Kluyveromyces lactis: one gene and its partner. The protein of the gene in region 2 interacts with the protein of the main gene of each other region in a biochemical or structural test. Links are inferred from orthologs where the notes say so. Each region holds a gene or a part of one and is shown on either strand. Other genes may lie near its edges. The genes, in order: IME2 and KLLA0_F18216g.

Region 1 (4,455 bases), about 1.4 Mb from region 2:
ACTCAATCTACCACAATGAGAGTAACAATCATGCAGCATTCCTCGAGGCAAAAATTTGTCACTTTCACCGTGCCAGTATCCCATTGCTTCCACTGCTAGTGCAGCGTAGACTTCATCGTTGTACTCTAGTCTAACAATTTTATTATAATCACAGGACGCACTTAACTGCGATGGAATTTGAAACTTATCAACCACCACAACTTTATATTTGGAACGAGCCAATTGCACAGCAGTACTTAATCCAAATATACCCGCGCCAACAATGACAACATCATAATTGGACATTTCCGGTTCGCTGCCTGTCTAATGTGAGGAAAGCTGTATAGTTGAATATATTATCTATGTTCTTTCTTAACCGAAGTTCTTCTTTATAAAGACTTTGAAGTACAATGTAAAGTTGATGGCTCGAAAGATTTTGAATCATCGGACCTCGGAGCTGATAGGAACAGTTTACCAAGAAAAAAAAAAAAAACTTGAGATAGTAAACAAAGACAGTAAGGATAATAGTGTACATAAGAGGTAAATCAAGTAGAAGTACCATGTTATAGAGTGAAAGAGTTGTCGGCATTTCTGTCCTGTATCCAACAAGTTATAAAGGAAATAATAGAAGCAAGTTATGTTAAAACTTATGAGCTAGCAGGTACAAAAGGTGAATATGTGTGTGTGTGTGTGTGGATATTATAAACGGTATAAATGAATGGGAAGAGGACCAGGTAAAGCGTTGTTGAAAGAAATTTCAACGAGTAGAACTGAAAGAGAGGAACAGCCTGCTGTTCTTTGTTCTACGATCAGAAACTTAATCCATCTTGGAATGTATGATTGTGGGAGTTAGAGGTTTGAATCAGGTTTTGAGATGCATGTTCCGATGGATCTAAAAGACAATCTAAAACTCTTTGCTGTACTGCCCTCTCCAGCAGATTTCTTGGGATCTGTTCTTGTAGATCAAGTGAATCGTCTATTGCCATTTGATCTGATAGTGTAGGACCCGCTGGTCCATTCGAATGCATGTAATTACCTTTGTTTTTGTTAAGTGGTAATTTCTTAGCCATCATATCCTGATAATAGTTTAGAAGACTATCTGCATCATCTTCGTCTTCTCCTTGATTGGAGATCTTCATCTTATCAACGGCAACTTCATTGTTTTCATCTTTGTCGGTCGCTCTAATTTCATGTTCCAAGTTCTCATCAGTATCAAATTCGTCCAACACCTGAATCCTATAATTCTCATGGTCCATGTCAATCGAATCATGTTCATCGTCATCGTCATCAACATCCAGAGTTGGTGGGTTCATCTGATTTGTGGTGTCTTGATAAAGCTCTATTTTGTCATTTAATTCCTTAGAAATTTGATCAGATCCTGTCATAGTCTCCATGCTATCATCCAGCTCAATAGTGAATACCTCATTATCATTGTTGGCATGTCCTATGAGATTTATATCAGGAATACTGTTACCATTAGCGTTTGTAGAGCTATCTAGCCTCTCGTTGTGAGCATTTACCTGTTGTTCCTGCTGTTTTTTTTCTACAATTCCTTGATTCTTCTGGCTATTTGTATTCGTGTTAACACTAGTAAGGATTTTCTCATCATTGTTTGTATTTGGATTGATGTTAACGTGGTTTTTCTGCGTGGAAAATTTGAACCATGAGGCAACTCCTCCTCTTCGCGGTTGCTGTTGGCTTTTATCTGTTACACAATTCATTTGATTGTTCTTTTGAACCTTTGGTAACTTCTGTGGAGAGTTAAAACTAGGAACAATGCCCAATTCCGGGTTATGTGGTAGTCCAGAAAGAATACGACTCCATTGGTTTGATATTGATGGATTTGCTGCAAGTTTATTTGCCAAAGCTGTATTATCCTTATTTTTGGATGCGGTTCCGTTATTTGTCTTTGCCAAAGATGCTTCTCTCATCACGTATTCCTTGAAGTATGGCAATGCACATATTTCGTTTGCAGTAGCCCTTTCACTTGGATTCCACTTTAGGCAAGATGTAACCACATCATATAGATCTTCCAATTGTGGGTTTGGTAGAACATCCCTTATCGTTTTCCCTTCTACGTATGGGAATTCATAGTTCAAAGCTTGGTATAATGGTTTTGAATCCAGCCATGAACCCCCAAAGTGCTCCTTTCCATTGATAGAATGATCTGGGGAGCCCAATAAATCTAGAATCCTCCATATTTGATCGGTTTCGTCAGAACCGGGAAATAGTGGTGAAAAGGTGGCTAGTTCGACAACAACACAACCATACGCCCAAATATCCAACGGTTTGGAATAGTATCCTTTTCTAAGAAGAATTTCTGGTGACCTATACCAACGGGTCGACACATAGGTGGTATAAGGTGATCTGTTATTCACATGTCTTGCCAAACCGTAATCAGCCAATTTCACCACGTAATTATCCGAATAATTATCATCTTCCAACCATTTCTTGCTGAAGTACCTATGAGATGGCGATATCAAGATATTCTCCGGTTTGATATCTCTATGGAAAAAATCGTGATCATGAATATGTTTAATTCCTGCTAATATTTGGAATAATATCGACCTCAAAGTAGGTAGGGAAAACACTCTTCTTTTCCTATGTTTCATCAATTGATAAATGTTCTGCTCCATGCATTCCATTACAATGTGAAGGTGATACAAAGAATCATCAATGAACATCTCGTATATGGTAACCAAATTTTTGTGTGCAGGAATTTGCAATATGAATTTGATCTCTCTGACTCTTGTATAGTCATGCAATGTTGGTAATCTATTCATCATTGTTTTGATTGCCACTATACCCTTTTTCTTATAGTACCAGTTTTCTTGTTCGACGTTTCTGATAAGAGTTTGATCCATCAAAGTTTCTGGGTACATTGAGGAAATTTGGGTGGCTGAACTGTTCATATCGTACATTGTCTCGGCCAATGTCACAGATCCGAAGGATCCTTTCCCCAATTCCTGAATTACGTTATATCTAGCATCGATATTCTTGAGCGGAATATAGAATGGAGGGTTATTAACATCTGGGGGTATGAAGGAATCTGCTGTGGTCAAAGTTAAAGCTGGCATTTTGTTCTTCTTTGCTTTATTGAAGTAGTTGATTGACAAATATTCTAGTGAATTTTATTTTAAAATGTAACGATTAATCTTGTGTTTTAAGATTCAATTACGCGGTAATAAATTAGAAGCACTTTTTTTTTGGTTGATTTTATAACTAATCTTATGCTTTTTTTGTGTCGGCTTTTATTACAGGATTCCTAAAACTGACACCTATTGGAGTGTTTCGTTTTGTGTCTTCTGAGTGCCGTTTTTGCCTTTTTGTACCGCTCTCTTTATTCTAACTTTTTTAGAAAAAAAAAATTTATCGAATGTCTGAAATCTCTGAAATCTGACACCTTAGATAATGCTGTATAGGATAGAATCGAGAAAAATAGAAAAACAGAAAAACAATAATCCTGATATATTAACACTCTCTTAATATGCAGTTTCAAAATGAAACTCAAACAACGATAATACCTTTGATCTCAAAAAGTGAAAAGGCGATGCTGTGTCTAGTTGTTATATACTAAAACACTTTTTCAATGTAAAACTTCAAAACAGAACAACAGGAGCTTCAGTTAGCCACTATCGATCCTAGTAAAAGTAAGTGTGAAATTTGTTCCTTCTGCTGCAAATATGCATGTGGTTTCCTTCGTTCACAATTGATACATAACTTAAAAAGATACACATAACTGACAGCAATACGGTAATTAGAAGATGAGAACACAAAAAGATTCAAAATTAAAGGAGATCCTTTGAATAACGCATCCTTTATATATTCCACAAAAGAATTCCAACATGTCGGCGCCTAATTCTGGTGCAAAGGATGTATTCTTCTTTTCAGCAATAAAAAAAAAAATCCAGATCTACAAGCTGATAAGTGTTCCTGTACAAGGCGATAAATCCATGTATAGCGGTATAGGGGAGGGGTGAGTCTACGATAAGGGAAACTCAATATACAAACCATTAAAAATCTAATTTATTAATTGATTCTCCATATACTTTAAAATGATCGGATTGTACCCCTCCAAATATTACCGGGCACGAACAACTTCTAGAGAGTTAGATTAAGGGGAAGAAAGGTTCGGCAAGATTGGCTACGGGAATTAAACGGGACAGGATGGGAGCGGAAGATATGTACATACTAACCTATGTATTAATAGATCAATCGAATAATTTGGATATAAAGGGGTTAAGTACAGGCACATTTACCGAAAATGCAGCATTTGCCGAATTCTGCAGTGTAAGCGCCGAAAAGATTGGGGCCCACTAGAGATTCTGCTAAGAAGTACCGACAAAAATTTAAGTATACTAGTAATTTATATATGACCCAATATGGCGCACCTATTGCACGTCATGATGTGAGTGGTAAACATTGCGATCGCTTCTGACCATAGTTCTCCCTTCCCCACAGTTTGGCTACAACAAC
Region 2 (4,162 bases):
AAGCGCATTAAAATAGCTGTCGATGAGGATCTAGAAAAGGATAACTTAAGATCGAACAAACACGAAAAGTCCGGTAATTTTGTTACTGGAGGTGAAAATTATAACTCCAGTGAGTTTGATGATTTGGAGATGATCAACGATAATGATTTCACTATAATTCTTGAACCAGAACGTAATACTGCATTAGAAAAGAGATGGTTGTACAAATGTGCTGAGGCATTACCTACTGATCTTCAAACGCTATTTAGACAAGTGGTGAAATACTTTAATGGGAAGGTTTCTTTGGAGTACATTATGATTAAGGAAGGTATTCCTAAAAATGAGATAAAAAGATTGCTTCAGGCCTTAGGTAAGTACATCGTTGAAGTAAAACACTGGTAAATGCCCTATCCCCTTACATTGTTATTCTTCTAATCGATTCTACGCACAGGATTTTGTCAATGCATAATAATTAAGTACTATATAATAAGCCATTTTTGGAGTTGCATAACTTTATGTCATAACTAATCAATTCACTGTGTTTTATATTTTTTGTTTTGCATGTTGTAACCATAACAGTTTGTAATTCCGGAGAAGCTCGAACAGAAAACATATCTATATATATATGCCATGCATGTAAAGTTTAAGATGATATCTTAAGTTTATTTATCTAAAAGAGAAGGACATGTACAAATGAAACGCCACTGGGGAACATATTATAAGACGGTGCCGAGTATATGCCCTGTGGTTGACTAAAAAGAAGGTGAAAAAGAGTTAATCACTAGGAGGGCCTAAGATAGTGCAATGATTACGCTAAAAAAAAGTAGAAAGAAAATGACATATTCAATAGTCGAGGTCTGCTTTATCATGTCCAGAGACAGAATTATCCAAATAGTTCATACCGCCAGGGTGTTCGTGTGGGAATGGATTAGTAAATGTCGGTGTAGGAGGTGGCATAGGGAAGTAATAAAAGAATGGGGAATGTTGAGAAGGTGGACACTGTCCCGTCAAGTGAGCGCCCGGCTGAATCAAGTGAGAGGGCGGAGGGCCAACGGGGCTACCAGAAGGTGGACAGTACTCCATTGGGTAGTACACTGGCGGGCCGTAGTAGAAATTTGGATCCATCCTACCATGCCTTGGTGCATCTACATTTCTTCGCTTCTTGTAACTATGATTCTTTTGATAAGAACCAGTGTTATGCGCATTGTTATGTTTGAACGTTCCAGTGCCTGCGCTGAAAGTTGTGAATGATGAGTTGGACTCGTGTTCTAAGAAATGTGTGTCCTCTGCATCATTGTCTTCATCGACTTCATATTCATCATCTTCTTCTTCAATTGTGCTATTTTCGATATCGTCTTTTGACCTATTGAAGTGGGTACTATGCATTTGCTGAGGACCTTCTAGATAAGCATTTTCTTTTTCAACTCCATTGTCTGTTTTGTTGGGATAATTTTTGCTTTCTGTGCCATAAACATACTGGTTACCATTTTCATTATAAAAACCTTGTGAACCAGTATTGCCAACGAAAACATGATTATGGTTGTGGTAGGATGATGAGCCTGAGTTTATAGTATTTCTCCTTGGTTCTTGTATCGTAGCATACACATAATGAGATGGCAGATTTGGTTGTAAATGATTTGGTAATGGATACATGTATTTTGAAAAAGACCCTGTACTTGCTCTCCTTCCTATATTCAAAGGCGGAGGTGCCAAGTTCAACTGAGGCCCCTGGAATGACTTATTGGAATCAATTGAACTACGCCTTGAATTAGATACCTCTCTGATCTGCACATGCAGTATTTTCTCCACGAATATTGAATGATTCTCTCTTTCCAACGCTTTTGCAGCTGATGCCGGAGTCTTGTACTTGATAAAGGCAAAGCATTTCAATTGTTCCTGCTTGTGGATCAAGTTGCAATTGTCGATTTCTCCATATTTTGAAAACCTTTCCAAAAGTAATGGTTTAGTAACTTTAAAATTCAATTGTCCTATGAATATGGACTTGTTATCGATGAAAATTGGTTGCTTACCGAATCGTTCTCTTTCTAATCGTTCCTTTTCGCAAATTTTAGCCTTTGAAAGTAGCAAATTGAACCTTGGAGGAACATCGACATTTTGTGCCCATTCCACCATGTATTCGTAATTGAGTTTCATTTGCAAATATGCTCTAATCGCATCGTCCCGATAAGCGTATTGGATAAACCAAGAGTTTGCTACCTCACTTGGATAATAATTTTTCTTATACATTTGGTCTCTGCTAGGGACAACTTGTTCCAATTCCCCAAATTTACTCATCAAATCTACCACTTTTTCAACAGTTAATTTTCCCTCTAGTGGATTAGCAAAACTTGACGAGATGAATACAGTTCTGTTGACCTTTGCTCTTTCACAACGAATATTTCTATTGTTTAACGTTGTACCTTGAGCTTGAGATAACGCATTCAATGCTTCATCGTCTGATGCATATTGAACAAATGCGTAAGGCCTGTTTGCTGGATCACGCAATACTTTCACAGACACAATTTTACCATATTTCGCAAACTCTTTTGTCACGGATGCGTTGAGTTCGGAATCACTAAGAGTGGCCGCTAAAGACGCAACGAAAATACAAGACGATGGTCTTGAAAAGGAAGGGTCATCAGAGGATCTTGGAGACGGTTCATCCAACAAATTAGTAGTATCCTCATCTGAATCTGTTTCTGATTCACTTGCTATTTCAGAAAGCTGTTCTGGCAGCAAGTTTGTTAAATTATCATCTAACAATGATTGACGGTCGATTTTAAGAGCAGTCAATTCCTTTTCTAAATTGATGACAGGTTTATCTGAAGAAATTTCCTCTTTATTTTTGGTTTGGTTTTCAGTTTCATTCGACCTTTGCCTTAATATTTCACCTGACTCATTGGGTGAATCATTAATCACAATACGGTCTTTAAAACTCTCGTTGATGTTTTTCGACATATTGGATGACATTACTCTTTGTTGTTTTCTTTTTTTAGACGTTAGGCACTATTAAGGTTTTCGGCTTTCCTCCTCTGTGCAAAAAACGAAAAAAAAGTCAGATCTGTAAAAAGGATGAATCAATAGTGATGTGACAAATTTTGATTCCTCAAATGACAAACTTCAGAACAAAGAAACTGTTTTGATCAAAACGGTTCGATGAATCTGTGGGTTCGAAGCAGCTAGTTATGATTTAGCCTTCTTAATATAATTTGACCTGAGCAACGTTATTGATATGGCACGCTGTGGAGAAAATATTGGTCACAAACCCTATTTAAAACGATCTATGATTTGCCCTGTTTGTTCGGAGAATGGAGGTGATAGAAAGATATTGTATCCCGAGAAATAGAAAACCTTTTGCCGTGGATCTTCTTGCGTCGTGAAAATCGTGCAATTTTTTTCTCACTTTGGGGGGGAATATGCGCTTTTCCTCTGAAACTTCAGCTCCGGTTTTATTTCTCAAAAAAAAATTTGTCTTAATTTTCAAGTACTGCGGCAAAGTGACCTGGCCAAGAGAGGGAAAAAACAAGTGGACAAATAGTATAAATATGTCCAGATAGCCCCCTACTTTTATTTCTAGGCGATATAATCTCGGAATTTGTAATGGAATAAAACAATGTGCTCCTTTATTCGTACGGTATGGTCAACAGTCTTGTAACGTGCGAGTGTACTTTTGCCTTATGTCGGTGATCTATTGGATTATGGGTTCGTTTCCTCTCCTCAATATTAATATTTGATTGAAGGAGAAGGAAGGAGAATCAGAACAGCTAATAAAACACAAGATAATAAAGATATTGTGTAAAGATAGGAAGGAGAACACAATGAGGGAGAAAGGTATTGCAGCTTAAATCAATTTATAATTGATCGGTTATTATATTTTGAGTGCAGTTTTCACTGTTTGATATGTGTACGAGTTCAAAACAAAAATATGAAAACTGGATATAATAAAAAACAGGGATATAATAATGTTTTGCAATTGTGTGGAGGCAAGTTTTGAAATAAAACTATCTTTCAAAAGTTCAGAATGCTCCTTTGTTGAATATTTTGTCCCTGTATTATCTTGTGACTCTTTGAACGGTCTTTTTCCAGTTCAAACTTGCATTGGCTGCTAAAAAAAAAAGTACCAAACGAAGCCAAATCGGGTAAAAATCTGAAAATAGAACTGTAGAGACTGTTCTCAGAAGCC

Evidence for each region.
Region 1: of the proteins of KLLA0_F18216g (region 2) and IME2, one has a biochemical effect on the other in vitro, tested with the Saccharomyces cerevisiae proteins (2 studies listed by BioGRID). The link is inferred for Kluyveromyces lactis from reciprocal best matches to the Saccharomyces cerevisiae genes RIM4 and IME2.

The regions. Positions count from the first base shown.
Region 1 is NC_006042.1:262,930-267,384, reverse strand, and holds IME2 (protein kinase IME2), read right to left. Parts: upstream 3,057-4,455; coding exon 789-3,056; downstream 1-788. Other genes in the region: KLLA0_F02860g (NAD(P)/FAD-dependent oxidoreductase), read right to left, coding at 1-285. UniProt on the Saccharomyces cerevisiae protein: Protein kinase which is essential for the initiation of meiosis and sporulation.
Region 2 is NC_006042.1:1,676,518-1,680,679, reverse strand, and holds KLLA0_F18216g (uncharacterized protein), read right to left. Parts: upstream 2,950-4,162; coding exon 823-2,949; downstream 1-822. Other genes in the region: NPR3 (Npr3p), read left to right, coding at 1-381. UniProt on the Saccharomyces cerevisiae protein: Positive regulator of sporulation-specific genes and of sporulation. Required for premeiotic DNA synthesis and meiotic chromosomal segregation. May act in a nutritional signaling pathway.